Rhinolophus ferrumequinum: one gene and its partner. The protein of the gene in region 2 interacts with the protein of the main gene of each other region in a biochemical or structural test. Links are inferred from orthologs where the notes say so. Each region holds a gene or a part of one and is shown on either strand. Other genes may lie near its edges. The genes, in order: DKC1 and SHQ1.

Region 1 (15,344 bases), on a different chromosome or scaffold from region 2:
TTATTCTTTGCCTTTTATTATGGACTACGTATAACATATCCAAACATGGACTCAAAGCCCAGAACTTACTGCACTGTCTTTCATAACCAGCCGTTTATGAGATGTCAACAGCTTTTCCAAAGGGTACACAACTCGCCGCAAGTAACTCTCATCCTTGTGGTTGTCGTACAGCCACTGGGCATCAAGCACGTCATGCATTGTCACCATGTGGTCCTGAAAAGCAGCGGTGTATGAAAATAACAGTGTCGTTGTTCAAACAGCCCAATGGACCCCCAAATTCCGAACACTGAATGAATTTAGTCTTGTCTGCCAAGTCTAAGTTCATTGGTCTTCAGTTACTTTAGAATCACTCCTCTCTGGACATCTTTAACTGCTGATTATCATTAACTGATCATACATTTAAATCTGAGCAAGCGTTTTTGTAGGCTGGGAAGTAAATGAATAGAGTAATGCTTTCTATCCAATCATCTTCCCTAGCCTGTTTCAATGTCCCAAAGTTTAATTAACAGAACAGGGGGTGCTGCCCTGAACTGAACTCAACACTTTGGAAACTGCCTTTCCCAGGACGTGAAGCAGACAGAGTTGCACCCTGGGATAGACTATATTAAGTACCAGCTCTAAAACTTCTTGTCCCGCCATGGTGTGTACCTTTTCGCTCATGACTCCAGAACGAATTCTCCGAAGTTCCTGCATCTGACCGCCAACTCCCAATAATAAACCAAGGTGCACACACAGCGTCCGAATGTAGGTGCCGGCCTCACAACTCACCCAAAAGATTCCTAAGACACACATACACACACACACAAAACTAGTAAATATTTTCCAAAGTAAACACACCACCAATTGAGAAACCCAGACCTGAGCCAGTGAGACTAGAGACGACAGACACAGGCCACAACTGCACCATATACTAAGGGCATGGACTTTTACCAACAGAGCAGTTTCCAAGGAAGCGTTCCTACACCACCACCGCCCCGTCTATGTTAATTCAATTCCTCATAGGCCTAATGACCCACCTAATCTTCTTTCAGGATCGTACTCGATCATTTTGCTCTCGTAGATGGTCCGCACTCGGAGTTGCCTCTTTACTGCAGCAATAAGTGGGGGTCGCTGGAATAAGGCACCTGTCAAAGTTTCTAGGGCCTGAGAATAAGCACAAACCACAATAAAGACTCTCATTGCATGGACTCTCAAATAAGATCAAAGGGCACATTATGGGAGTTTAAGCACACAACTGAAATGCACAGGTTTCTTTCAATCATTTAAGATCTAAAATGCTTTTTGCTTTTCTTCAACCACACAGAGATGGCTCAGTGCTGATCAGAACCCTCTCCTCAGAAGGGACATGGCCGGAAGTGCCCCTGCCATTTGTAGTCACCTGTCCAGGCTGGTTAAGGCAGCCCACTGAAAGGGGCACAAGAGACGCCAGCCAGGAAAGCTGACCTGTCTCCAGATGTCTAGGGGCTCAGAGATCCACACTGCCAAAGGATGCCCTCCCTACAATTACAGACTTACCCTAAAAAGTTGAGTCCCCCCTTCAATAGCATTGTGTAGCCGGACAATTCCCACATACTCTTTGCCTGAAAAAATGACAAAAGAGTAGTCAGGTGCGGCCACTGAGTTTTCTGTATTTTTATATACTCATATCACTCCCATTTTGTGCAGCAGGAAAAGCAGGCAATTTGACCTCCTTAAGATTGCATGGTACAGACATGGGAAAGGAATAAAGACACTTTCTCTCATCAGGGTTCAAGTTTCAGTGTGCTCACAGGGACAGCTGGAGTACCCAGTGTAGAGCCTGCCTGGAAAAAACTTCGCAAGGTCAAGTAGGAGAATATTCCCTGATGAAAATGAGGGAAAGGCACTTCAGGCCGAAGCGGCAGCACAGAGTTCAGGAGCCTGGAGTGATAAACTAAGAGCTGGTCGGACGCAGGTCTACCTCAGTGTGCACACAGCACACAGTACCTGGAACTCCAAGAAAGGCAAACCAGGGTCCGGCAGAGGACAGAAGATGAACAGAAAGCAAGAGTAGCCCTGCTTAGGGTCTTTTTATTATGAAAGAAATAATTTCCAAGAGCCAACACGTAAGTAGAAGGGAAAGGAAATGCACAAAGCCTTCCAGTCTCAAGTTAGCCACCTCTTCCACGTACCTGCACTTTGCTGTGATTTTACCAAGCGAGTGGCTCGTTCTATGCACACGATTAAACAGCCAGTCACCTTAGGGTCTAGAGTACCACTGTGTCCTGTCTTCTCCACCCGAAGTATCCGTCGGATCCAGGCTACCACCTCATGGGAAGAGGGGTTGGAGGGCTTGTCAAGATTAATGAAACCTGTCCTAGAATGGAAAAGAAATTACTGGGCCATCAGCTCCGATCCTCTAATAAAAACTAAATTTGAAGAGTAAAAATTAAGAGTTGACCATGGGTACAGGTTCTATGCGGTTTAGGGCAATGCCATTCTACGATACCACTACCTCCTTGAATAACTGATGTGAACGGGTTATTGTGAACAGAACTCAAGTTTGAACAGTGCTTGATCCAACACTTACCTGATATAATCTCCAATCTCCCTCTTCAGAGGACTTGAACCACAAGGAAGAGGTGTATAGTGTGTCGTCCTTACATTTAGCTTATCAAAGTTCTAGAAAGCAACGATACAACACAAAATAAACTTAATAAGCCATTAATATATGTAAAACCAGAGTTAGCACTACCACCAACCGCGACATGGTTACTGTTACTGTACACAAACTTGGATGTTGCTCCTATATGTTCATTATCTGCTGTGACAGACTAAATCTGCTTACATACTGGAAAATTCACCCGAGTAAGAAAAAGACAAATTTCTTCCTGACCACCTCCCCATGAGAACATCCTCTCCAGAAGAGAAGAGGAACGCAAGAAAAAGCACCTGGGGCAGAACCCCAACTCCCCTTCATGGCTGTGAAATGCCCAGGAGGCTATAAAATCACTGTCCTTAGCCATGTATAAACACTAGTTTTGTGTGCAGGCTGCTCCACTGTCTTCTGTGAGCCTACAGGAGGAAAAGCAAGGCTTACAGAAGGATGCTGCTTCAGAAGGCAGCAGCACTAAAAGCACCCTGAATCAGGATGAGGAACCATCCCAATAAACACATTCTGGATGGATGGATAGATGGATAAATAAATAAGGCAAATCTGATCACTCTTCTATTAGGTTGGTGCAGAAATAACTGCAGTTTAAAAGGTTAAAAACAATTGCAAAAACCACAATTACTTTTGCACCGACCTAATAGAGACTTCTTGGGGTACCACAGAGCAGACTGGGCATCACTGTGCAGTTTTACGAATAAAATATGAACTAGCTTTGATTTTCTCAGGGACAAAAGATAGCCTAATTGAGGACTGGCAACAATATCTCTCAAACATAATTAGCTTGTTACTGCTCCAGAAGCTCCTAGCTCTTTTTTTCTCATGTCTGCTCCTTTTCACTCTCCTCCTTTCTGAGGCTCAACCACTGGTCTGAAGGAGCTCCCCTCAATTGAAGCCCATTTTTCATATCACCCAGTTTCATTTCATCATGGTAGTACCACAAATAGCAATCATTTTTTACACAAAGAGCAGTTATTTTTTAAACTATCACCTACCCACCCCTACATTCTGAGTTCCATGACAATAGGGACTTTGCCTACCAGGTTCATTGACATATTCCCAGGGCCTACAACAGAAAAGCAGATGCTATCTAAATGGAAGATACATCTGGTCAAGCAGAAACTCAACTGTGTTCAATTATATAAGCAAATCTCATTCTTTTGCCATTATATACACGTTTTATTAAAATACTTGGTCAAGGGGTGTTCTCAGTAACTTTGTCTCCCTTAACCTTGTCTCCTAATCTCAGAGCTGGTGCCCATTAAATCATTTGTGAAACCTGTAAATCAAATCATTACTACTCTATTTACAGCCCAACACAACAGTCAATAATTTCTAGAGGACATGTTACACACCAGACACTGGCTAAACACATTTCATGGATCACCTCCCACAGCCCTCAGCTTGTCTTACTAAGAGAAGCTATTATGAGCAAACAGCCTCAAAGAGGTTAAATGATTGGCCCAAGTTCACACACTGCCTGACCCAAATTGGTCTGGCTTCAAAGCCCATGCTTCTCAAGCACTAAAGCAGTCCTACTTCAAGCGTGGCCCACAAATTGGCACGAGTCTGTAAGGTGGCGTTAAGTACAGGGACTGAAGAACTAATTGTTTATAAACTCTGAGAGCAGTTCGATGTCATTTCAACATTTTAAATGTATACTGTGACAGTGTTGGGTGCATTGGAAATAAAAATACTAACTTGGTCCTTCATCTCAGACACTTTGAGGAACACTGCTTTAGACCATATCACCGGGCATTTCCTTAGCAAAGAATGCCAGTATTAAGCACTCACGTGATGTACAATCTTAACCACATACCTTTAGCAACAGGGGCCACTGGGATGTGTCCAGCTGAGCCACTTTGGATTCAGGTTTGATAAGAAATTCTTCAACGTGTTGTATTTCCTTCCATGGGACAGAAACATACCCTATTAGACTTCCCACCTGATTTTGAACAATTCCATTACTACCACAGAAGCCTATGCCGTTTCAATAGAAAACAAGGTAGTCTACGCCTCTTCAGTGAGACCCTCCAAGGGAAAGAGCAGAAATGAGCCAGGATGTCAGAAGGTTAAATTAAGTGCCCCCAAGATGGATACAGCTATTTAAAGAGAAAGAGGGATAGTGGGTCTGCAGGTGGGATAAGAGAGGAAACTGCAGGGAAAGGGGTTGGCGAGACCAAGACCATTTAGGAAACTACCCCATAGGAGACGCTTAGGTTGGCTGGGGTTGTGTAGTTTCTACACAACCACCAAATTTCTTTAAAACCTTTAGAAAAGTTTTCTGTAATTTGTTGTCTAAGTGGTCTTTTTTAGTCAAAACAAAGTAAAACATATTCCTACTCACTGCTACATCTTCTTCTGGTAATGACTTCACCCCTTTTTTCTTCTTATGCTTCTTCGGCAAAATAAGCACTAAAAACACACAAACAAACAAATCCCAATTTGGGAGTTATCCCCGCAAATAAAGGCAACAAAGTTTAAAATAGAGACTGAAACCAGGGCAGGTATTAAATGGATGTTTGGCATAGAATTACTGGGGAAAACAAACTGTGTAAGGCCAAATACGTGGGTTGCACGGCTCAGTAACTGACTGCAAGCAGTCGCACATGTCAGCTTCCGATCGGTTCACCACGTGGCCGTGGCGGGGCTTAAACACGCCGCAGAAGCGCTCGGCCCGCGAGGCCGGAAAGTTCCATAAGTGATCGCTTGACTGTCCGCTCGTGTTTGTGACCTCCTGAACTTTCTTGCCTGTTGGACCTACGCCCACGCTGGAGCCCCTCGGCCCCTTTTCTTCCACGCCCGTTCCAACTACCCTTTCCTCTCCTCATCGTGTGGCGCAGACCGTGGCGTCTGAGCTACCGGCGGCACAGGTACTGCTAGGTCTCCTGCCATCGCAGGGTCCCCCGCACGGCCAACGCCTTTCCATGGCGACCCGGGCCCTAAAGGGGCTGTGCCATCAGCGGAAAGCCCGGGCCTCGCGGCGCCACCTCATCACGAGCGCCTCCCGCTTTTTTGCCCTCACCCGCAGAGCCAAAGCCAAGGAGCAAAGCCGGCAGGAAGCCCGGCGGCGACCGGGCCAATCCAGCGGCTGGAACGAGCAGAGGTCGGGCCCCGACGCCGTCCACCTCCCTGGGCCCTCCGAGCAAGCAGAGCTGGCCCCGGCCGGAGACACCCGGAGACACCCGGCCCTACCAAACGCGAGGAAGCGTCCCCTACCTTCCATGTCCGCCATGTTGCCCACACAGCGTGCGAGCCGCGTGGGCCACCGCCAAGAGAAGGATTACAGACTCCCGCCGCCTTCAGGCCGCGCCGCTAGACCCCGCCCACTTCTGCACCGCCCCGTGCGTGCCGCGACGTGCGGCGGGGTCAGGAGAAAGGGGCCGGATCTGGGGCGCGCGCGGGACGCCTCTACAATCTGGCTGGCTCGGCCCCAGGGATGACGCGCTTGCGCATGCGCGTGCGCTAGTGCTTTGGGCCTGGATCCCTCCCTTGGCAGCCCCGGCTGGGATCCCAAACTTAGCTCCCCTTGGCGGCCCATAGTCTGTGGGCGTGGCCCCGGCCGCTGTTCACTTACCTTTACTGGGTTTAACCCGGGTGTGGACACCTGGCTGAGGACGCTGTTAACTATAGCAAGTTGCTTCCTCACGCCAACCCTTTAAGGTTGTTGTCTGATCAGTCCCGATTGAAATATAAAGACGTTAAGCCACTGTGAGGTTGAAAGCCCTTTGCTGCTTGCAATTGCCATCCAGCTAGAGCAGCGCTGGCCAATAGGAATAAAGTGCGAGCCACTCGTGAATTTTTAAATTTTCCAGCAGCCGCACGGGGAAAAGAAATTTAATAACGAATTTTATTTAACCCTGTGATCCGAAATATCATTTCAACATATAAGCAATACACAACATTACGAATGGGATATTTTACTTTTTTTTTTTTGTACCAAGTCTTTCAGATGTGTTTTACATTTACAGTACACTTCTGTTTGAACTCCACGAACGGGTGTCCCTGGCAAGTGCTCTATAGTCACAGGCCACTAATGTCTGCGGAATTGGACAGCCAGGAAGTAGCAGCTTCTGGTTCAAGCCCTCTTCCCTTCTGTCTTTGCTCTTCTCTCTTCTCGCTCTTCCGTCTCAAGTGTGGACTTGATTGATCCCTAGTTATTCGATTCTTTATTGCGATTCTAAATGGAATCGTTTGTCAATAATCTTTTCTAATGAGTTGCTGCTGAACAAAGAGGACAGGTACTGCTTTTCTTCCATTCCTCCTCCACCATCCAAATAATAGAAATTTTGCACTTTCATTTTACTGTGGCAAAAAAAAAAAAAAAAGACTGATGACTAGTTTTTCCTCATGTAACTTTTCATCTATCGGGAATTTATTTTGGTGTATGCCAAGATAATAATAATAATGATCTAAATTGACTTTTTATAGATAACCAAAGTCCCCAGTATCAACCAATCCATGAGTAGTTCACTACTTGCCCCATTATTTTGTAATACTTCACTGATACATGTTTGGCTGAATAAGTTTGAGGTATTCACTGATGGTTCTATGGGCTTCACCTTTTTCCAACACTCAACAGATCTGTTAGCTAAGCCTGTCAGCTTTGCTTTCAAAAGAGATGCAGAACCTGATTGTTTTTCAACGGTAGTCCATGCCATCCTTATGGTTCTCCTAGATTTTTTTCAGTGGCTTCCTGCAGTTCCCTCTGCTTCTACTCTTTCCAACTATAGTGTCTTCTCAACACAGCAGCTGGAAAGAGCCATTAAACTGTAAGTCAGGCCATGCCTCTGGTCAAAGCCCTTCAGGCCGTGTCTCTCCTCTGCTTCCCTTGTTTAGCGGGGTAAAAAGTGGTCCCCCCAAAAGATATGTCCTAACTTCTAGACCCTATGAATGTGACCTTATTTGGAGAAAGGGTTTTTGTAGATGTAATTAAGTATCTCAAGAGGAAATCGTCCTGGATTACCCAGGTGGACCTAAAATCCCATGACAAGTGTTCTTAGAAAAGAAGGACAAGGACACACAGAAGAGACAAAGACCATGTGAAGATGGAGGAAGAGATTGGAATGGTTTCAGACTTCCAGCCTGCAGAACTGTGAGAAAACAAATTTCTGTTGTTTAAAGCCACCCAGTTTGAGGTAATTTGTTATGGTAGCCCTAGGAAACTAATACACCACACTGCCTCTTGGCTATTCAGGACTACTCCAGGCACATTCTTCTCTGTTCCTTAAGTGTACCTGGCTTATTATTTATCTCTTCACTAGAATATTAGCTTTATGAAGCCAGGAAAGTTTTGTCTATTCTGTTCACCGCTATATATCCAGCTCCTAGAAAATGCTCAGTAAGAATTTGTTGAATGAATCTATGTTTTCTGAACCTAGAAACCCCATGGACCTTCCCTTACCAGCAGAAGCAGCTCCTCCCCCACTGTCTGATGAGGCTGATCCTGCCTTTCTTGGAGATCTTGTAATGAAATCAGCTGGTCAGTTACTGAGCAATGGAATGCCAATTCTCCTTGTGCCCCACCCCTTCCACCCCTCGTTGTCTCCAGTCCCAATTCTCAGGGAGGTTGGAATGTTGGAATGGAATTTTTATGTGCATCCCACTGGCACACCCTCTAATGACATCCCCTGAGAGGGCTCAAAGGACATTCCTTTCACCAAAACACTTGGACAAAATTTGGTAAAGGTTCTGGAAAACTAGTTGGGGAAAGGAGGTGGGAAACATTGCAAGTGGTGGCACTAATTCTCGGAAATAGGATGGGTATCATGATAGGCAGCAGGACTGACAGTTGGAACCAGAATGGTTACTTCCCATGGATCTTTTGGGGTGGTTAACTGATCATGGTGTCCTGTTAGTAGGCTACCTATAGTAGCCCATGGTCTGTATAACCCCTACAACCAACAACAGAATCTCTAGTTCTGGTGAATGGCAGCCTGCCTTGAATCACCACAATGGAAAATCATGGCCCCTCATCTAATTCCGAGACCCAATCAGTCCACAGGCTCAGAGCCCTCAAGTAAAGAGGAAGCCAGATACCCATAACACTACAAGTATATACTGTATTTTAAACCTTCCTCCCACTTTCTCCTGGGGACATAGAATGCCACTGTAGTCCACTAGTCAGAAATGGAGTCTTAATCTATCTCTATTTTGCTGTGGGCACCCCTGTGGCTCTTTCCCCAGTTCCTGATTGCAGAATTGGAATAAACACAATAAGCAGATAGAAGAATTCCCACAGGGGCTTCCTGACTCAAGGACTGAAGACAAGTATACAAAGAAAGGTCAAAAGGAGGCCCCCCCCAGCACTGTCCCTTCAATTCTCTGGTACATTATCATAATTAAGTCCCCAGGGACTGACTTTATCTCACTGTGCCCCAAGACATCATGCTGGTCTGCTTCATTGATGACTTGTTGATTGGGCCTAATGCTAAGAAGTAGCAAATATTTCACCACAGGATGAGAGATAGGTCCCAGGAAAATTCAAGAACCCAACACATCTAGGTATCCAGTAGGCTGAGGCATATTGAGATGGTCCTTCTGAAGAGAGAAGCAATTTGCTATACCTCAAACCTACTGTCACTAAGAAAGAAACACAATGCTTGGTGGGCGTCTTTCTGGACGTGGCATTCCCTGTAAGGATGCTACACAGAGCCTTTCCTATGACTTGATTAGAAAATCATAGCTCGGGCCTCTGGTATTGGGATAAAAATAAAGCTAAGACCTACACACACACACACACGTATATACACACACACACACACCAATTTGCTGGGAAGAAAAGTTCCTGACTTCTTTAGTTCCTGATTGACCATCTAATACAAGTGGTCTTATGAACTGAGCTGCACATCATACACTAGGCATTGTTTGACCAACCAAGTCTTAAAGTCAGGCATGAGTAGCAGCATCCCAGCATCAGCAGTGCAGCTGCTGGGGAAAACAGTCTGGCAGTTCCTCAGAATGTTAAACAGAGTTTCCATATGGCTCAGTGATTCTACTCCTAGGTGTATATACCCCAAAAGATTTGAAAACAGGGACTCAAACATGATGTTGGGGACTTGTACAGGAATGTTCCTAGCAGCATGAGTCACAGTAGCCAAAAAGTAGAAACAACCCAAATCTTCATCTACAGTTGAATGGAGAAACAAAATGTGGTCTATCGATGCAGTGGAATATTACTCAGCCATAAAAAGGAAAAAAGTACTGATACATGCTACAGCATGGAGGAACCTCGAAAACATCATGTTAAATTAAATAAGCCAGAGACACAGGGACAAATATTGTATGATTCCATTCATATGAAATAGCCAGAATAGGCATCCTAGAACAGGCAACAAGCATGTGAGTGAGGAAGCTTCCAGACTATTATAGCCTCCAGCCCTCCAGTCACCCTCGGCTCTTGAGTCATCTCAGCCGAGCCATCAGACATTATGGAGCAGAGAGAAGACATTCCCACTGTATCCTCTTTGAATTCCTCAGCATCATCTATCAATGGAATAACAAACCATCCCAAAACTTGGTATCATTAAACAAATATTTTGTTATGCTGACAGATTGCAGTTGTGCTGAGAATTCAGCTGGCAGACCAGGTTTCACTGGATTGGGGCACCTTCTACACTTGGCCTCTCCATGTGGCTTGGACTTTCTTACAGCATGGCAGCCTCAGAGTTGTCAGACTCTGTACTCGGTGTCTCAGGGTTCCAAAAGCAAGTGTTAGGGCAGAGAAAGCATAAAACTGCATAACCTTTTGTGACTTGGCCTTGGAAGTCTCATAGCATCATTTCTGCTGTATTGTATGGTTGAAGCAGTCAAAAGCCTACCCAGGTTCAAGTGAAAGGGGCATCAACCTCACCTCTCCACGAGGGGTGTCAAAGAACTTTGGAGCCCTGGTTCAAAACTGCCACATTCACCAAGACCTAACTAACTGCTGTGCAGGCCAAACTGGTGAATTAAATGGGGATGTGATAGGAATTTCCTTCCCTGCATTTTTCAAGTCTTTGATAATGAAACTAATTTTTGACATTCTCCCCTAAGTATGTGATATTTCTTTTGACTTATACTTTGGTAGGAAGGTGGAGCTCCAGGGGTTTCCACTTGGGCCTTTCTGCCATGATTCCTTCCTTCCATGGGTCCTGAAATCGATGTGAGGATTCTGCGTTGTTTTTTTTTAATTTTAGCCATTCTGATAAGTATGTACTGGTATCTCATTGTGGTTTTAATATACATTGTCCTAATGGCTAATGATATTGAACATTTTTCCATATGCTTTTTGGCTGCCTCTATATCCTCTTCAGCAAAATGACTCTCCATGTAGTTTATCTATTTTCTAATTAGATTAATAGTGTTTGTTTTTTTTACTAATGAGTTTTGAGAGTTCTTTATATATTTTTGATACGAGTCCTTTGGCAGATATGTGGCTTGCAAACATTTTCTCCCAGCCTGTAGCTTGTCTTTCTACACTTCTAACAAGATATTTTGTAGAGCAAAAGTTTTAATTTTGATGAAGTCCAATTTATCAATTTTTTTCTTTTATGGCTTGTGCTTTTGGTGTCATGTCTAAGAACTCATCACCAGGTCCTAGGTATCAAATATTTTTTTCCTATGTTGTCTTCTATAAGTTTTAGAGTTTTACATTTTACATATACATATATGATCTATTGAGAGTTAATTTTTGTAAAAGATGTGAGGTTTTGGTTAAACTTTTTTTGTTTTTTGTTTTGCCTATGAAAGTTCAATTGCTCTAACACCATTTGTTGAAAGGACTGTGCTTCCTACACTGAAATGCTTTTGTACCTTTTTCAAAACCCAATTTGGCAAATTTATGTGAGTCTATTTCTGCATTCTCTGTTCCATTTCATTTATCTATGTGTCTATTCCTCTACCGATACCACACAGTCTTGATTACTGTAGCTATATAATAAGTCTTGAAATTGTGTAGAGATTTGTATGTTGATCTTATATCCTGCAGCCTTGTAAAACTCATTTATTAGTTATTGGATTTTTTTTTTCTGTAGATTCCTTGGAATTTTCTATGAAGACAATTATGTCATCTGCAAATTGAGACAGTTTTATTTCTTCCTCCCCAATCTGTGTGACTTTTGTTTCTTTTCTTTCCTTTTATTATTATTATTTTTTTTTTTGCATAGTGCACTGGCTAGACATTCCAATACTATGTTGAATAACAGCAGTAAGAGTGGATATCCTTTCCTTGTTCCCAATCTTAGGGGGAAAGTGTCCAGTTTTTCACCATTAAGTATGATGTTAGTCATATGTCTTCTATAGATGTTCCCCCTCTATTCCTAGTTTTATGAGAGTTTTTGTCATGAATTGGTGTTGGGTTTTGTCAAATGCTTGCTCTGCATCAATTGATATAGTTATATGACTTTTCCTCTTTTGCTTGTTAATGTGGTGGATTGCATTGATTGATTTTCATACATTGAATGAGCTTTGCCGCTCTGGGATAAACCTCAACTGGTCATGGTGTATAATTTTTTTTTTTTAATGTATCTATGAATTCTACTCGCTAGTATTTTGCTGAGGATTTTTATGTCTCCATTCATGAGGCATATTGGTCGGTAGTTTTCCTTCTTTCTTTTTACTGTCTTTTTCTGATTTTGGTATCAGAGTAATATCGTCCTCGTAGAATGAATTGAGAAGTGTTTGATTTGGACTTGTGAAAACATTTCATGCTATTTTTTCTCATTAAATTTCCTTTTAATGCGTCTCAAAATTCTGTGACAGATTTTTGGTCAAGTTGTTTCCATTAAAAACTAATAACTTAAAAACTGAAGCACAAAAAAAAAACACACAAAAAAACAAATGGTCTACAAAACATTCTCCTTTCCTTCTGAAAGTTTTACAATGCATTGTAATCATTAACTTGTCTTTCACCATTAAACTTAAATGGCCAATTGAGACAAACTGTTATGAGACCATTCTTCCACTACTGATTAAGACTGGAGTGACAGGTTTTAGGGATAAAAGCTACTCATTTAGCCTTCTGAGCTTTCTGGGCAGACTTGGGGACCTTGCCAGCTCCAGCTGCTTTCCTGATCACTGCTTTGATGACACCCACAGCAACTATCTGTCTCATGCCACAAACAGCAAAACGGCCCAGAGGAGGATGGTCAGAGAAGCTCTCAACACACACGGGCTTGCCAGAAATCATATCAATGATGGCAGAATCACCAGATTTCAAAAACTTCGGGCCATCTTCCAGCTTTTTCCCAGAGCAGCAATCAATCTTTTCCTTCAGCTCAGCAAATTTGCAAGCAATGTGAGCTGTGTGACAATCAAGCACAGGTGCGTATCCAGCACTGATTTGGTCTGGATGCTTCAGGATAATCACCTGAGCTGTGAATCCAGCTGCTGCCATTGGTGAGTCACTTTTTTTTTTCCAAATGACTTGGTTTAATTCCAGGAAGTACAGAATTTGGGATAGAACAAAGACTGAAGAACACACTTAGGATTCTGGGTTGGGTTTCCTCTGACCTCACAGCTAAAGTTGAAATAGCTGAGTGAGAAGAACTAAAGAGTTGAGCCAATGCATGATTATTATTACTTTTTTTTTTTTACAAAAGTTTATTCTTAAATGTACAACAGGCTCCAAGACAACACTTCCTTCTAGCTACAAGTGGCAACAGGTGTTATGGCAAGGAATCCAGATGTTAAAACAGGAATGGAATTAAGGATCACCATTGCCCCAGGCACAAGGAACAGCTCACTTTTTGCCAGACTTCTTAATTCCACTTGTGGCCGGGGGGGGCCCTTCCCCGCAGCCTGCTTTTAGCTCCTCGAGTTTCTTCTCTTTCTTCTTCTGCTTGAATGCCTTATCTTCCTAGTCCATGTCCTTGTCCTGCTTCTTGGGCTGCTTCAGGGGCTTCTTCTTGTCACCTTCATGGCTGGACATGGTACCTGCCGCCCCTTCACCTCGTGGGTAATTTTTGCTGTCACCAGCCACATTGCCACAACGAACATCTTTGGCAGACACATTCTTGACATTGATGCCCACATTGTCCCCAGAAAGAGCTTCACTCAAAGCTTCATGGTGCATTTCAACAGGCTTTACTTCAGTTGTTACACTGACTGGAGCCAAGGTGACCACCATGCCAGGTCTGAGAACACCAGTCTCCACTGGGCCTACAGGGATATACCAGTACCACCAATTTTGTAGACATCCTGGAGGGGCAGACGCAAAGGCTTGTCAGTTGGATGAGTTGGTGGCAGGAGCAATCCAGAGCTTCAAGCAGCGTGGTTCCACTGGCATTGCCATCTTTATCGGTGACTTTCCATCCCTTGAACCAAGGCATGTAAGCACTTGGCTCCAGCACGTTGTCACCATTCCAACCAGAAATTGGCACAAATGCTGCTGTGTCAGGGCTGTAGCCAATTTACTTAATGTAGGTGCTGACTGCCTTAATGATTTCCTCGTATCTCTTCTGTGAGGCGGCTCAGTGGAATCCATTTTGTTAACACCAACAGTTAGTTGTTTCATACCCAGTGTGTAAGCCAGAAGGGCATGCTCACGGGTCTGCCCATTCTGGGAGATTCCTGCTTCACATTCACCATCACCAGCAGCAACAGTCGGGACAGCACAGTCAGCCTGAGATGTGACTGTAATTGTGTTTTGAAAAAGTCTCTGTGTCCTGGGGCATCCATGATGGTCACATAATACTTGCCGTTCTCGAATTTCCACAGAGATATCAGTAGTGATGCCACCCATGCTCGTGTTCAGCTTTCGGTTGATCCAAGGCCCATTAGAGACCCTTTCCCGTCTCAGCAGCCTCCTTCTCCAATTTTCCATGGTTCTTTTGTTGATCCCACCACACTTGTAGATCAGATGGCCAGAAGTGGTGGATTTGCCCAAACCGACATATCCAATGACGACAAAGTTGATACGAGTCTTTTCTTTCTCATTTTGGCTTAGATTTAGTGGTGGTTTTCACGACACCTGTGTTCTGGTGGCAAATCCACTACGCAAAAGCCATAGAGTTTTAAATATAAAATAATGGATATGACGTCAGAATTTTTCGTAAGACAGGTAGAAGACTATAGACAACAACAAACTCAAATTGATAGTAAGAAAGTCAAATTTCATATTTCAGATGGAAATTAGGTTGCTTTCACTCTTAGAGAAGTACTTTATAGATGTCCATATAGGAAACAAAGAGTTTCTTTATCCGAAATTGTACTGTGGCAGTTGAGGCTTTTATTTATTTATTTATTTTTTGATATTTGAGATTTAGCCACTTTATTTTATTTATTTTATTTTTTTATTTTTATTTTTATTTTATTTTATTATTTTTTTAAATTTATTGGGGTGACAATTGTTAGTAAAATTACATAGATTTCTGGTGTGCAATTCTGTATCACATCATCCATAAATCACACTGTGTGTTCACCACCCAGAGTCAGCTCCCCTGAGGCTTTTAATTAATGTGCTTCATAGATTATTAGAACAAGAGACGCGTGGGAGGTGGGGAATATAGGAAGACACAGACCTCTTCCCTCATTATTGGCCTTTCACATACATGTATAGTTATCTCCCCAGGTCTGTCCCTTATTCAGAAATTGAGAGGCATTTTCTTTTCAAATTGTCTCTCTTTTCACAGAGAATAATTTAGATGCACGGCCACTTTGCCCATCGTAACATAACTAAAATAGCGTCTCTTCTATAATAGTGGACATTTACTTTCACAAATCCTCCTAGTTAAAA
Region 2 (15,386 bases):
GACCAATGGAATAGAATTGAGAACCCAGAAATAAAACCACATAAATGGACAGATAATTTTTGACAAAGAAGCTAAAAACATAAAATGGAGGAAAGACAGCCTCTTCAATAAATGGTGCTGGGAGAATTGGATAGCCACGTGCAAAGAATGAAACTGGACTGCTCTCTGTCACCAAGCTTCAATAAATGGTGCTGGGAGAATTGGATAGCCACGTGCAAAAGAATGAAACTGGACTGCTCTCTGTCACCATGTACCAAAATTAATTCAAAGTCGATCAAAGACCTAAGCATAAGACTTGACACAATAAACTGCATAGAAGAAAACATAGGTACTAAACTTACGGACCTTGCATTCAAAGAGCATTTTATGAATTTGACTCCAAAGGCAATGGAAGTAAAGGCTAAAATAAACGAATGGGACTATATGAAATTTAAAAGCTTCTGCACAGCAAAAGAAACCATCGACAAAATACAGAGGCAACCAACTGAATGAGAGAAGATTTTTGCAAACAGTGCCTCCGATAAGGGGCTAATATCCAAAATATACAAGGAACTCATGAAACTCAACAACAAAAAAGCAAACAACCCAGTTGAAAAATGGCCAGAGGACCTGAAGAGACATTTCTCCAAAGAGGCCATACAAATGGCAAATAGACATATGAAAAATGCTCAACATCACTAATCATCAGAGAAATGCAAATAAAAACCACAATGAGATATCACCTCACCCCAGTCAGAATGGCTATCAACAAGACAAATAGTAACAAGTGTCGGAGAGGCTGTGGAGAAAAAGGAACCCTCGTACACTGTTGGTGGGAATGCAGACTGGTGCAGCCGTTATGGAAGGCCGTGTGGAGATTCCTCAAAAAATTACGGATAGAATTACCATACGACCCAGCAATCCCTCTCCTGGGTATCTACCCAAAAAATCTGAAAACATTTATCGATAAAGACACATGTGCTCCAATGTTCATTGCAGCTTTGTTTACGGTGGCCAAGACATGGAAACAACCAAAATGGCCTTCGATAGATGAATGGATAAAGAAGTTGTGGTATATATACACAATGGAATACTATTTGGCATTTAAAAGATAACATAGGAACATTTGTGACAACATGGATGGATCTTGAGAGTATGATGCTAAGCAAAATAAGTCAGACAGAAAAAGCAGAGAACCATATGATTTCACTGATATGTGGTATATAAACCAAAAACAACAAAAGAACAAGACAAACAAATAAGAAACAAAAACTCATAGACACAGACAATAGTTTAGTGGTTACCAGAGGGTAAGGGGGATGAGGGTGGTAGACGAGGGTAAGGGGGATCAAATATATGGTGATGGAAGGAAACTGACTCTGGGTGGTGAACACACAATGGGATTTATAGATGATGTAATACAGAATTGTACACCTGAAATCTATGTAATTTTACTAACAATTGTCACCTCAATAAATTTAAAAAAAGAAAAATTATGCAGAACTACAAAAAAAAAAGAAATCGTGCATAATATTGTAGACTGTCTGATACATACATATATTTAAGATCTCAAAAGATGTTATCATGGTTATATTGTTCAAAAAATGTTAGTAATGGTTTTAAAAAAATTTATTTTTAAAAACTTATACAGTGCAACACCAAAGTAACGAACAATCTAATTAAAAAATGGGCAGAGGACATATGGAGACATTTCTCCGAAGAGGACATACAAGTGGCCAATAGACATGAAAAAATGCTCAACATCACTAATCATCAGACAAATACAAATAAAAACCACAGTGAGATACCACATCACTCCTGTCAGAATGGCTGTCATCAACAAATCAACAGATAAGTGTTAGCGAGGATGTGGAGAAAAGAGAACCCTCATGCACTGTGGTGGGATTGTAATTTGGTACAGCCCTATGGAAAACAGTATTGAGGTTCCTCAAAAAATTTAACATAGAAGGTTAAATTTAAAATTTTACCTTATAACCTAGCAATTCCATTCCTGGGTATCTATCCAAAGAAATCCAAAACACTAATTTGAGAAAAATACATGTACAGTGGTACCTCTATTTTCAAACGTAATCCATTCCCGAAGACCGTTGGAGTTCTGAAACGTTGGAAAACAGCCGACAGCTAGGTCTCAGGATCTTGCACTCAGCGGACGCCATGTGACATGTTCAATTTCCGAGGCGTGTTCGAAAACAGAAGCATTTACTCCCGGGTTTATGGTGTTCATAAACCGAAATGTTCGTCAACAGGGACATTCGAAAACTGAGGTACTACTGTACTCCTATGTTTAGTGCAGCACTATTCACAACAGCCAAGATATGGAAATAACCGAAATGCCCTTCAACAGACGATTGGATAAAGAAATTGTGGTACATTTATACAATGGAGTATTACTCTGCTATAAAAAATAATGAAATCTTACCATTTGCAACAACATGGATGGACCTAGAGGATATTATGCTAAGTGAAATAAGTCAGACTGAGAAAGACAAATACCCTATAATCTCACTTATATGTGGAATCTAAGGAGAATAAATGAACAAACGAAACAGAAATAGACTCATAGATACAGAGAACAAACTGATGGTTGCCAGATGGGAGGGGGTTAAGGGGGACGGGTAAGAAAGGTGAAGGGATTAGGAAGCACAAATTGGTAGCTACAAAATAGTCACAGGGACGTGGTGTGCAGTAAGGGGAATATAGTCAACAATGTTGTAAAACTGCATGGTGTCAGCTGGGTGTTGGACTTGACAAGGGGAATCACTTCTTAAGTTGTATGGATGCCTGGCCACTGCACTGTACACCTGAAACTAATATAAAATAGTATTGAATGTCAACTATAATTAAGTATATATAATCATGGGATATAAAGTACAGGAATATAGGGAATATAATAATCCATGGCATTGTAATAGCTATCTAGTTTCAAATGGGTAGTAGACTTGGGGGGGGGTTTATCACTTTGTGAGGGGTGTAAATGTCTAATCATTATGTTGTTTTATAGGACCTGGAACAAATAACAAAAAAAAAAGATTTGAGAGAAAAAAAAATGTAAGCTATTATTACTAGCTCCCTTCTCCTAGATTCTTGTAGTATAAATTCTTACCGTGAAATAGTAAAATCATATTTGTTCACAGATATGCCTCCTCTGCTAGACTCTCAATTCCTCAAGGAGAGGGGTGAGATTTTATTCATCTTTGTTGTGCTATAGTAAACTATATTTTCAACAAAGATGGCCCATGTCACATCACTGCTTCCAACTGGGGGGGGGGGGTCAGTGTTCACTCCCTTTAAAACTGAGTGGGCTTCTAGAACTGTTTTAACCAATACAATACAACAGAATTGATTGTGATTTCTGAAGTTAGGTCATAAAAGATGATATGGATTCTCCCTTGCTGGCTGGAATACTCACTCTAGAAACTTTTAGCTATCCTGTTTGTGCTCCAACTCCCTGAAGGAATCACAAATTAGGACCATGCGAAGAGACTACACAGGGAGGTCGTAAGACTACAGGAAGAGAGATACCCTCCCCAACTTCACCACGCCAGTCCTCAGCTGCTTAGGCCCTTCCTGTTCCAGATCCAGCCATCATGTGGTCACAACTGAATTAAAGACCTCAATCCAGAAGAGCCCAGCCAAGTCCTTATCAAATTCCTGACACACAAAAACCAGGGAGTTAATTAAATGATTATTGTTTTAGACCATTAAGTTTGCTTGGTTATCAGCACGACAACTGAAACAGCAGGCCCTTAATAATACCTACTATTTATTGAATACATGGTTAATTACCAGACATGGTAATAAGAACTATGTATGCATTATCTCAATCCTCACATCAATTTTTTAAGATCACTAATATTAGTCCCATTTTACAAACGAGAAAATTGAGACTGAATAATTTGCCCAAAGTCACAGAACACCAAATGTGCTGAGCCTCAGGTGTGCCCAATTCCCAACCTCTGATACCCAACGAATGGATGAATGTGTGTAAAGAGTAGTCTAAATTGTTTCACAGATTACCTCTTATTTTGTCTTTATCAAAACTCTGACTTAAGCAAAGTGATATTTACTTTGAAATTTTTATTTTATTGTATTTATTTTATTTTACAATCCTATCTTATTTAACAACTTTTCTCTGAGCCTCTGATCCCTCATCTGTAACATGGGTAAATGACAGAACCTACTTTGTAGGACTGCCCTAACACCAAATGAGATGATCCACGTAAAGCACTGACCTGGAGTAAAAATCCAATAAATCTTTGCTATACCATCATCAGCATCTTCTCATTCTTCATATCTTGGCTTAAACATCACCTCCTCAGAAAGGCTTTCTTTGGCCACTTTACATAAACATTGGCTCTCTTTTATTCTCTATCACTGCACTTTATTTCCCTTCAGAGCACTTACTATGATTTGTAGTTATATGTTTACTTGTTTGCTTATTATTTTTCTATCCCCACTAGAATGTAAACCACTGAGGCACCACTACATCTCCAATACTGAAAATAGAGCCTGGTACATACCATGGACTTGATAAACAAATAAAGATATAAATAGGTACAGAAATAGATAAGTGCAGCATACTCAAGTAGGCGAATTAAGTTTGGGCCTAATGGGTATCTGAGAAAAAACTGGTTCAGTCCCAGTGAGGAACAGCTTGATTCCAGAGGAAGGTTTGTATCAGGAAGTACTAGGGCAGGAAAAGTGGGGTGGAGCTATCTTTGAATGAGAATGATCAGGAGAATGGATGTTACCCTCCTAGGAAAGGGGAGTATTGACAATGTTTAAGAAGAATAATGTGGCAGTGTCCTCTGTAACAGGGGACTAATAATAATAATGCCTATCTCCGAGGACCACTGTCAAGATTAAATGAGATAATGAACATAAAGCATTTAACACACTGCTTGTCCCTCCTCTCAGATGGAATGTGAATAGTGGTAGCTGTTTACTACTGTTACACTATGGTTCTGCAGGGAGAAAATGCAAACAACAAATGCTGAAGGCTCCTCGCCGAGACATGGGGGACGACAACCACAGTCAAGGGGCAAAACCAGAGAAGCAGCAGATAATGAGGAAGTAGGAGAACGAGCTACTTTGGTGTCATGGGGGCCACGGAAGGCGAGAATTTCAGGAAGAAGGGAGAGGTCAGTCAAGAGGTGGATAACACAACGTGGACTAAGAACAGTCAAATGGAATGGTCAGTTGGGAAGTCAGCGCGCGCTGTCCTTGGGCAAAGAGGACTAACGCAGAGCGAAATAAAGAACAGGAAAAGGAAGGGACGGGAACCTGGGCGACAGGACGAAACTGGGAAAGTTACAGAGGCCCAAACGCCACGTTTTAAAGTGGCTCCGAAATCCCTCTAATGTGGAGATTTAATAAGTTTTAAGATGAGCTTCGGCAGTATCTAGAACGCACACCTACAAGAGTTCACTTCCTTAGGCACCTAAAGAAGCTGCGGGGGTCTCGGAAAAAGGCAGTGGTGAAATCGAGAAGTGCTCCCTCGTTCTTTCATCCTCTCTGGATAAGTGGTTATCGAATGAGTGAATGAATGAATGAAGCCCCAAAACACCCTTCCCGTGGCCAGACACGCAGGACTCACCTGAGAAAATATGGCTTGGCATAGAACTTGAAGTCGACCCCCTTGAAGTAGACGTCAAACTCCGAGACCCGGGCGTAGGGCACGCGGATAGCAATAGTCAGGAAGTCGGGGTCCTGGCTGAGGTCGAACGCCGGGGTCAGCATTGCCGCACCGGACTCCTGTACCCAAGTCAGTCACTGTCACTGCGGCCACGATCTCACCACTCAAATTCTCCAAGAAATACCCACGCGCAGATGCTCGTTCGGTGAGTCACAGCGCTTCCGGCTCAAGGCGGAAGTGCTCGTGCGTGAGCGAGGAAGTCCCGCCTCTCACCTCTCTCCGTGGAGACGGGATGCTATTGGTGGAGAAATAGAGAAAGGGCGAGTGGAGCTTTGTGCATAGGTATTGAACCCAGAGCGTAACTTGGCAGAACACGGACAAGAGTCCACCTTTGACCCACCAAGCCTCTTTCGAGGTTCTTAGAGATGATTTTAACAGCACTGGCTTTGCGGGTAGGCAGACCTACTTTTGAATCCCTTCTCGGCCACTTCCCAGCTGTTAAGACCATTGGAAAGTTACAAAACTTCTCTGTGCTTCACATACCTCTTGTATAAAATGAGAATAATACTAGGATCTAGCCCCATAGAGATACTGTGAAGATAAGATGAAAATATGTAAAGCTCTAACAACGTACCTGCAAGTTGTCGATGCTCGATGTGTTGGCTCAGTCACACAGCAGCATCCTTACTGTGGTTTTCCTTAGATCACAGCTGTTTGGTCAACAATCCCCTTTTCATCCTCTTCCTCACCGCCTTTCTATGCAATCTCTCTCCCCTCCTTCTCTTCTTCCTCTCCCCCTCCGTATCTCCCTCTTTCCCTCTCTCTTTCCTAATTCCTTATTTGAATAGAGTTTTCTTGTTTACAGATCGTCATCCACCTAATCTCTTTCAACACTAGGAACTCCAAAGAACGACTCAAAAGGTTAAGCAATATGTCTTATAATAATCATGCACTTTTACAATGATCAGACCCAGAACGTCTGACTCTTAAACCATGTTAGGGTTAGCCTGTATTGGCAAATTGCTGTCTTTCTGTACTTTTCCTTTTCTTAGTTTTCTCCTTAGACTTGTTTGCGGTCCTCTTCGGTCTCCTTTTACCCTTCGCTCGCTTGTCTTCTCCCCCCCCCTCCCCTTTTCATCTATGCTCCTCATACTCTCCCAGTGCTTCCCCACTAGTCTCTCTCTTCCCCTACATATTCCCTTGGCCTTCCTTTCCTCTAATTTTATTTCCTGTTATTCCACCAATAGCTAGAATAGTCCAGGAAATAGTACCTATTTAGCCATCTCCTCTGACAGTGGACCAGATAACTTCAAAAGCCTTTTCAATCTTCCATTTTTCATGAGTCTTAGAATTAAGACTCAGACAAATACATTAACTAGAGCAAACAAAATTTTAAAAATTTAAAATAAAAACCACTCTGCTTAAATCTGGGAGTTTTGATAAAGACAAAATAAGAGGTCGTGTGTAAAACAATTTAAAGCATACTCTTACACACACATTCAGCTATTCCTTGGGTAGTAGAGGAATTAATTGAATTAACTGAAATTTAGTATGTGCCGGCACATACAAAATCCTTTATAGTGATCTCATTTTCTCCTTGTGACAGCTCTATGAAGTAGGCATTATATATCCCCATGGTTTGCACAGGATTACACAGTTAGTGAGTGGTGAAACAGGAATTGAAACCCAAGTGAATCTGATTTCTGTTCCCAGGCTCTAAAATACTATAGAACTGACTCCCTTAAAAATTAATGTAAGACCCAGTATTATTTATATTATATTATATTATATTATATTATATTATATTTTATATTATATAAGACCACTTATATTTTTGCTCTAAGAGATGCATTGGAGCTGATGGTCCAGCTAGGTCTCATTTTGCGGAAACACGGTACCCAACTTGTTTCCTATTCTGAACCAAGCCTCCCTGTTTTAGGCCATACTGAACCTTACAAATAACATGCACTCAATACTGTAAATACATTGATAAAACTTGTAGTTAGTAAAGCCCTTGAAATAGGCCTTTGGATCATTCCAAATTAGCTTTACATTTACCAAGGGACCTCATTCCTATAGGTCACAAGTATTAATATTTTTAAATTATTAATGCAGGAAAATTAACTGAGACTGAAGTTATGCTATCCATGAGGAAACTCTAATTGAAAGCACTTTAAAGTAGAGCTGTGTACTTTCTAGATAATTTATTCTATGTTTGGCAACACACACACTCACACACAGGATTGCAACACAGATAAACAGATTGTATGATTCATTGCTGCTCTTATAAGAAATATATACAAGTATTACATCTGATGTATCGCAAAATACTGATAGTTGCAACTACATAACAGGGTTTTGTTGGTGGTGTTTTATTTGCAAGCTGTTGTTTATTTTTGTATTTCTAATTAGTGGTAAATTACACGTTATAAATTCTATTTAAAACAATATAAACAAAGTCATTTTAAAATAGAATATCAGAGGAATTGCCTTGCATGTCTTATGCCTCAAACCTCTGGAATATTAAAACAGGGCAAAATAAACTTTGGGCTGGGCTTAAAGCAACATTATGTCCCAAAAAACTGTTTACAGGGATAACAACAAAGCTGATATTATTACTATCAGACTGACAAATACCAGACTAAAAATTAAAAACATTCTTTAGAATGAACATCTCCATGTTAGCTCATCTGCACCAATGGAAATGCCTTCCTACTATTCATGTAATTGTTCTCCTTCCCTTTCTTATAAATACCCCTTGCCTTTGTCTCCTAATCAGAATCTTATTTGGGTTTCTGTCTGAATCAGCTTCCCAAATAGCTATTTTTCAAATCGCAAATAAATGCTTTTTGCTTCTCACTTTGCCTTTATTTTTTAGGTTAACATATCTAATGTCAGGAGTGGGATCTAAAATGGCTTCACCTTCATGGACCAGCATATCCTGGGTCTGGGTATAATACCTAAACAGCCTTTTTTGTGCTCACCACATCCATGGACCACTATCTCCTTGACTGAAGCCCTCTTAGGTTCAGACCTCCCTCCTTTTTGGACTGAGGTTAAATACCATTATTTGAGATCAGGAGGGGGTTTTTACCTCAAGGGGGCAGGGGCCCCCTTAGTGTGTGTATATATATATATATATATATATATATATCAGAGGAATTGCCTTGTATATACATATATATATATATATATATATATATATATATATACCTCTAGAGGGAAATTATTAGCATTAATTTATAAAGAGCTCTGTTTAATTGGATTGAATGAATTAAGCAATACAATAGAAATTAACACAAATATTTTTCAATATCACATGATCTTGGAAAAATTTGATATTAAAACTAATATTAAGTTAGTTGGTTTCATTAAAACAGACATGTCTTTAGAGTTATTAACTTTTAATATAATATTTTTATTTTATCTGGGTTTACGAAAAAATAAGTTCATGTTATCTCTGTTATAAATGGTGATGGAAGGGAAACAGGACTCTATTGGGGAACAGTGTGTACTTCCAGGACTTTTTTTTTTCCAAGTCAAGTTGTTGTCCTTTCAGTCTTAGTTGTGGAGGGCGCAGCTCAGCTCCAGGTCCAGTTGTTGTTGCTAATTGCAGGGGGTGCAGCCCACTATCCCTTGTGGGAGTCAAACCGGCAACCTTGTGGTTGAGAGGACACGCTCTAACCAACTGAGCCATCTGGGAGCTCAGCAGCAGCTCAGCTCAAGGTGCCAAGTTCAATCTTAGTTACAGGGGGTGCTGCCCACCATCCCTTGCAGGACTCAAGGAATTGAACTGGCAACCTTGTGGTTGAGAGCCCACTGGCCCATGTGGGAATCCAGGCAGCCTTCGGAGTTAGGAGCATGGAGCTCCAACCACCTGAGCCACTGGGCCGGCCCTATTTTTGGCTTCTTAACACAGAAAAACTAAAGATATTTGGGTTCATTAATAAACATGTTTTATGCTATGTTGAGGAAACAAATGTTTCTAAAAATTATCAAATATATTTTCCAGTCCAAGAGCCTATATTTTTGAGACTATGAAATGTATTCATAACTTTGACAATCTAGAGTATGCTAATTGCTCACTTTTAGTTGTCACTAGAAATTAACGTTTCTAAAGATTAAAAATTCAAATTAGCAGGGAAATAATTAATAGATGTTTTCAGTAAAAGGTGATTTAAGATATAGATATATGTTTCCATTAAAAAATGAAAAGAATTTGTCCTGGTTATTTCAAAATGGGAAGACAAAAAGAGAAAAAATTTTACCAATTGAAATTAAGCAGGCTAAAGTTAAATTGTTATTAAGCTTAATATCAATATTGGACTTATGTAAAGCTAAAAATTAATGTTGCTGCTCTACTAAAAGAACAAAATTTTCCTGTATTTTTAATAGGCTTTTTTTAAATTAAAGTTTATTGGGGTGACAATTGTTAGTAAAGTTACATAGATTTCAGGTGTACAATTCTGTATTACATCATCTATAAATCCCATTGTATGTTCACCACCCAGAGTCAGTTCTCCTTCCATCACCATTTACTTGATCCCCTTTACCCTCATCTCCCACCCTCCACCGTCCTTACCCTCTGGTAACCATTAAACAATTGTCTGTGTCTATGAGTTTTTGTTTCTCATTTGTTTGTCTTGTTCTTTTGTTGTTTTTGGTTTATATACCACACATCAGTGAAATCAAGTGGTTCTCAACTTTTCCTGCCTGACTTATTTCGCTTAGCATTATAATCTCAAGATCCATCCATGTTGTCACAAATGGTACTATTTCATCTTTTCTTACCGCCAAATAGTATTCCATTGTTTATATATACCACAACTTCTTTATCCATTCATCTATTGAAGGACATTTTGCTTGTTTCCATGTCTTGGCCACCATAAATAAAGCTGCAATGAACATTGGAGCACACGTGTCTTTATGGATAAATGTTTTCAGATTTTTTGGGTAGATACCCAGGAGAGGGATTGCTGGGTCATATGGTAATTCTATTCGTAATTTTTTGAGGAACCTCCACGCTGCCTTCCATAGCAGCTGCACCAATATGCATTCCCACCAACAATGTATGAGGGTTCCTTTTTCTCCACAACTTCTCCAACACTTGTTACTATTTGTCTTGTTGATGATAGCCATTCTACCTGGGGTGAGGTGATATCTCATTGTGGTTTTTATTTGCATTTCTCTGATGATTAGTGATGTTGATCATTTTTTCATATGTCTATTTGCCATTTGTATGTCCTCTTTGGAGAGATGTCTCTTGAGGTCCTTAGCCCATTTTTCAATTGTGTTGTTTGTTTTTTTGTTGTTGAGTTGTATGAGTTCCTTGTATATTTTGGATATTAGCCCCTTATTGGACGCGCTGTTTGCAAAAATCTTCTCCCATTCGGTTGGTTGCCTCTTTATTTTGTCGATGATTTCTTTTGCTGTGCGGAAGCTATTAAGTTTGATATAGTCCCATTCATTTATTTTAGCTTTTACTTCCATTGCCTTTGGAATCAAATTCATAAAATGCTCTTTGAACCCAAGGTCCATAAGTTTAGTACCTATATTTTCTTCTGTGCAGTTTATTGTTTGAGGTCTTACACTTAGGTCTTTGATCCATTATGAGTTAATTTCGGTACATGGTGACAGCAGTGCAGTTTCATTCTTTTGCACGTGACTTTCCAATTCTGCCAGCACCATTTATTGAAGAGGCTGTCTTATTATTGTATGTTTTTTGCTTCTTTGTCAAAAATTATCTGTCCATATTTATGTGGTTTTATTTCTGGGTTCTCAATTCTATTCAATTGGTCTATGTGTCTGTTTTTCTGCCAATACCATGCTGTTTTGATTATTGTTGCCCTGTAGTACAAGCTAAAGTCAGGGAGTGTGATACCTCCAGCATTGTTCTTTTCTTCTTAAGATTGCTTTGGCTGTTCGGGGTCTTTTGTGGTTCCAAACAAATCTGATGATTTTTGGTTCTATTTCTTTAAAAAATGCCATTGGGATTTTGATGGGGATTGCATTAAATATGCATATTGCTTTGAGTAATATGGCCATTTTAATTATGTTGATTCTTCCAATCCATGAGCACAGAATGTCTTTCCATTTCTTTGTGTCTTCATTTTCTTTTAAAAATGTCTTATAGTTTTCAGCATATAGGTCTTTCACATCCTTGGTTAAGTTTATTCCTAGGTATTTTATTCTTTTTGCTGCAATTACAAAAGAAATTGCTTTTTTTTGGTTTCTTTTTTGAGATTTCATTGTTGGTATATAGGAAAGCAATGGACTTTTGTATGTTGATTTTGTAGCCGGCAACTTTACTGTATTCGTTGATTGTTTCTAATAGCTTTTTGGTGCAGTCTGTAGGGTTTTCGATATAAAGCATCATGTCATCTGCAAAGAGTGACAATTTAACTTCTTCATTCCTAATTTGGATGCCTTTGATTTCTTTCTCTTGCCTGATTGCTCTGGCGAGAACTCCCAACACTGTGTTGAAAAGCTGAGGTGATAGGGGACAGCCCTGTCATGTTCCCGAATGTAGAGCAAAGGGCTTCAGTTTTTCACCCTTAATTATGATATTAGCTGAGGATTTGTCATATATGGCTTTTATTATGTTAAGGTATTTTCACCCTATACCTATTTTATTAAGTGTTTTAATCATAAATGGATGTTGTATCTTGTCAAATGCTTTTTCTGCCTCAATGGATATAATCATATGTTTTTGTCCTTTATTTTGTTTATGGATTTGCGTATGTTGAGCCATCTTCGTGCCCCTGGGATGAACCCCACTTGTTCGTGATGAATAATCTTTTTAATGCTTTGTTGCATTCGATTTACTTGTATTTTGTTTAAGAGTTTTGCATCTGTGTTCATCAGAGTTATTGGTCTGTAGTTTACTTTTTTGTGTTGTCTTTACCAGGTTTTGGTATCAGGGGAATGTTGGCCTCATAAAATGAGTTAGAGAGTATTGTCTCTTCTTCAATTTTTTGGAAGAGTTTGAGTTGGACAGGTATTAGACCCTCTCTGAAGGTTTGGTAGTATTCACTAGTGAAGCCATCTGGTCCCAGACTTTTGATTTCAGGAAGGTTTCAGGTGGTTGTTTCAATTTCATTACTGGTGATCGGTCTATTTAGATTTTCCAGTTCTTTGTAATTCAGCCTGGAAAGGCTATATGTTTCTAAGAACTCGTCCATTTCTTCTAGGTTATTGAATTTGATGGGATATAGTCCTTCATCGTACTCTTGGATGATCCTTTGTATTTCTGTGGTGTCCGTGATAACTTCCCCTTTTTCATTTCTGATTCTGTTTATTAGTGTCTTTTCTCCTTTTATCTTAGTGAGTCTAGCCAAGGGTTTGCCAATTTTATTAGTCTTTTCAGAGAATCAGCTCTTTGTTGCATTAATTTTTTCTATTATCTTTTTGTTCTCTATTTCATTTAGTTCTGCTCTGATTTTTGTTATTTCCTTTCTTTTGCTGACCTTGGGTTTCCCTTGGTCTTCTTTTTCTAGTTCTTTAAGGTGTAACGTGAGGTTATTTATTTGGGATTTTTCTTGTTTCTTGAGATAGACCTGTAAAGATATAAATTTCCCTCTTAAAACTGCTTTCGCCTTCATCCCAAAAATTTTAGTAGGATCTATTTTCATTCTCATTTGTTTCTATGTATCTTTTGATCTCTCCTCTTATTTCTTCTTTGATCCAGTCATTCTTAAAAGTATGTTGTTTAATCTCCATATATTTGTGGTTTTTCCTGATTTCTTTGTGCAGTTGATATTTAATTTCAAAGCCTTGTGATCAGAGAATATGCTTGGTATTATTTCAATCTTCTTAAATTTGCTGAGATTCGTTTTATGTCCCAATTTATGGTCTATCCTTGAGAATATTCTATTTACACTAGGAAAAAGTTTATAGTCTGATGTCCTAGGGTGAAGTGCTCTATAAATGTCAATTATGTCCATTTCATCTAATGTGTCATTTCGGGTTGCTATTTCTTTATTTTCTGTTTGGATGACGTATCCATAGCTGTCAATGATGTATTTAGGTCCCCTAGTATAATTGTGTTTTCGTCAATTTCTTTCTTTAGTTTTGTTAGTAGTTACTTGGTATATTTCGGTGCTCCCTGATTTGGGGCAGACATATTGATGACTGTTATGTCTTCTTGTTGTATAATACCCTTTATCATTATGAAATGTCCATTATTTTCTCTTGTTACCTTTTTTAACCTGAAATCTGTTTCATCTGATATCAGTATGCCTACAGCTGAATTTCTCTGCATACCATTTGCTTGGAGTTTCATTTCCACCCTTTCACTTTGAGACTATGTTGTCCTTGTAGCTGAGATGTGTCTCTTGGAGGCAGCATATGGTTGGCTTTAGTTTTTTGGATGCTATCCGTTACTCTGTGCATTTTTATTGGTGAATTGAGTCCATTTACATTTAGGGTGATTATTGATATGTGAGGATTTCCTATCATTCTATCTTTGGTTTTCTGGTAAGACTGTGTCTCCATTGTTTCTTTGCCTTTTTGTTGCTGTCAATTATTTCAGTGTGGTGGTATTCTATGATTTTTCTCTCTGTTTCTTCTTTTATTATGTTATATAATTCAATTCTGTATTTTTTTTTTTAGTGGTTACCATTAAGTTGATATAAAAGAAAGTTTCATATTTAGAGTATTCCGTTTTCTTCAGCATGCTTACTTTTCTCCATTCCCATATTCCGGTTCAGGCCTTTACTCTCCCTGCTTTTATGTTTCGGTTGCCACAAATTATCCCTAATTATGCTGGTCGAATAGCCTCCTTCAGTATTTCTTGTAATGCCGGTCGTGTGCTATAAAATTCACTCAGCTTTTGTATGTCTGGAAATGTCTTTATTCCTTCCTCATATCTAAAGGATATCTTTGCTGGATATATTATTCGTGGCTCATAATTTTTCTCTTTCAATAGTTTGAATGTTTGATTCCACTCCCTCCTGGTTTATAGAGTTTCTGCTGAAAAATCTGATGATAATCTAATGAGCTTTACTTTGTAGGTTACCGTCTTCTTTTCCCTGGAGTCCTTGTGGATTCTTTCTTTGTCATAAATTCTTGACAGCTTCGATACAATGTGCCTTGGAGAAGGCCTATTGGGGTTGAGGTATTAGGTGTTCTATTTGCTTCTTGCATTCAAGGATCCAGCTCTTTCCACAAGTTTGGGAAGTTCTCATCGACTATTTGTTTGAATATACTCTCTGTTCCTTCTCTCTTTCTTCTCCAAAAAAATTATTCTTATATTGCTTTCTGATGGAGTCAGAAAGTTCGTGTAGAGTTCTTTCATTTCTTTTAAGTCTCAAGTCTCTTTCTTCTTCCATTCATGTTATTTCCAGGTTTCTGTCTTTGATGTCACTGGTTCCTTCCTCCATCTGGTCAACTCTACTACATAAACTAGCTATTTCATTCTTCATTTCTTTTATTGAGTTCTTAATCTCCAGAAATTCCATTTGGTTCTTTTTTAAAATTTCAATCCCTTTGGTAAAATGTTCATTTTGTTCTTTGATTGTGTTTCTGAGTTCATTAAACTACCTGTCTGTGTTTTCTTTCATCTTGTTGAGTTTTTTCATAACTTCAATCTTGAATTCTCTGTTATTTAAGTCATATATTTCCATGTCTTTAAGTTCATTTTCTGGAGACTTTTCATTTTCTTTCTGAGCTGTCTGTTATTCATGGTTGGTTATTCATGGAAATTAATGATTTATTATTTATCTTCCTAGACATCTATAGGAGAGGGTTCTGC

Evidence for each region.
Region 1: the proteins of SHQ1 (region 2) and DKC1 are reported together in a solved structure, tested with the Homo sapiens proteins (2 studies listed by BioGRID, with this or other methods). The link is inferred for Rhinolophus ferrumequinum from reciprocal best matches to the Homo sapiens genes SHQ1 and DKC1.

What each region holds. Positions count from the first base shown.
Region 1 is NC_046284.1:5,794,988-5,810,331, forward strand, and holds the start of DKC1 (H/ACA ribonucleoprotein complex subunit DKC1), read right to left. Parts: upstream 6,031-15,344; 5' UTR 5,865-6,030; coding exon 5,849-5,864; intron 5,045-5,848; coding exon 4,977-5,044; intron 4,536-4,976; coding exon 4,449-4,535; intron 3,093-4,448; exon of another isoform or gene 2,937-3,092; intron 2,641-2,936; coding exon 2,549-2,640; intron 2,336-2,548; coding exon 2,151-2,335; intron 1,581-2,150; coding exon 1,516-1,580; intron 1,144-1,515; coding exon 1,017-1,143; intron 780-1,016; coding exon 649-779; intron 551-648; exon of another isoform or gene 418-550; intron 214-417; coding exon 70-213; intron 1-69.
Region 2 is NC_046300.1:66,544,837-66,560,222, forward strand, and holds the start of SHQ1 (protein SHQ1 homolog), read right to left. Parts: upstream 5,862-15,386; 5' UTR 5,740-5,861; coding exon 5,597-5,739; intron 1-5,596. UniProt on the Homo sapiens protein: Required for the quantitative accumulation of H/ACA ribonucleoproteins (RNPs), including telomerase, probably through the stabilization of DKC1, from the time of its synthesis until its association with NOP10, NHP2, and NAF1 at the nascent H/ACA RNA.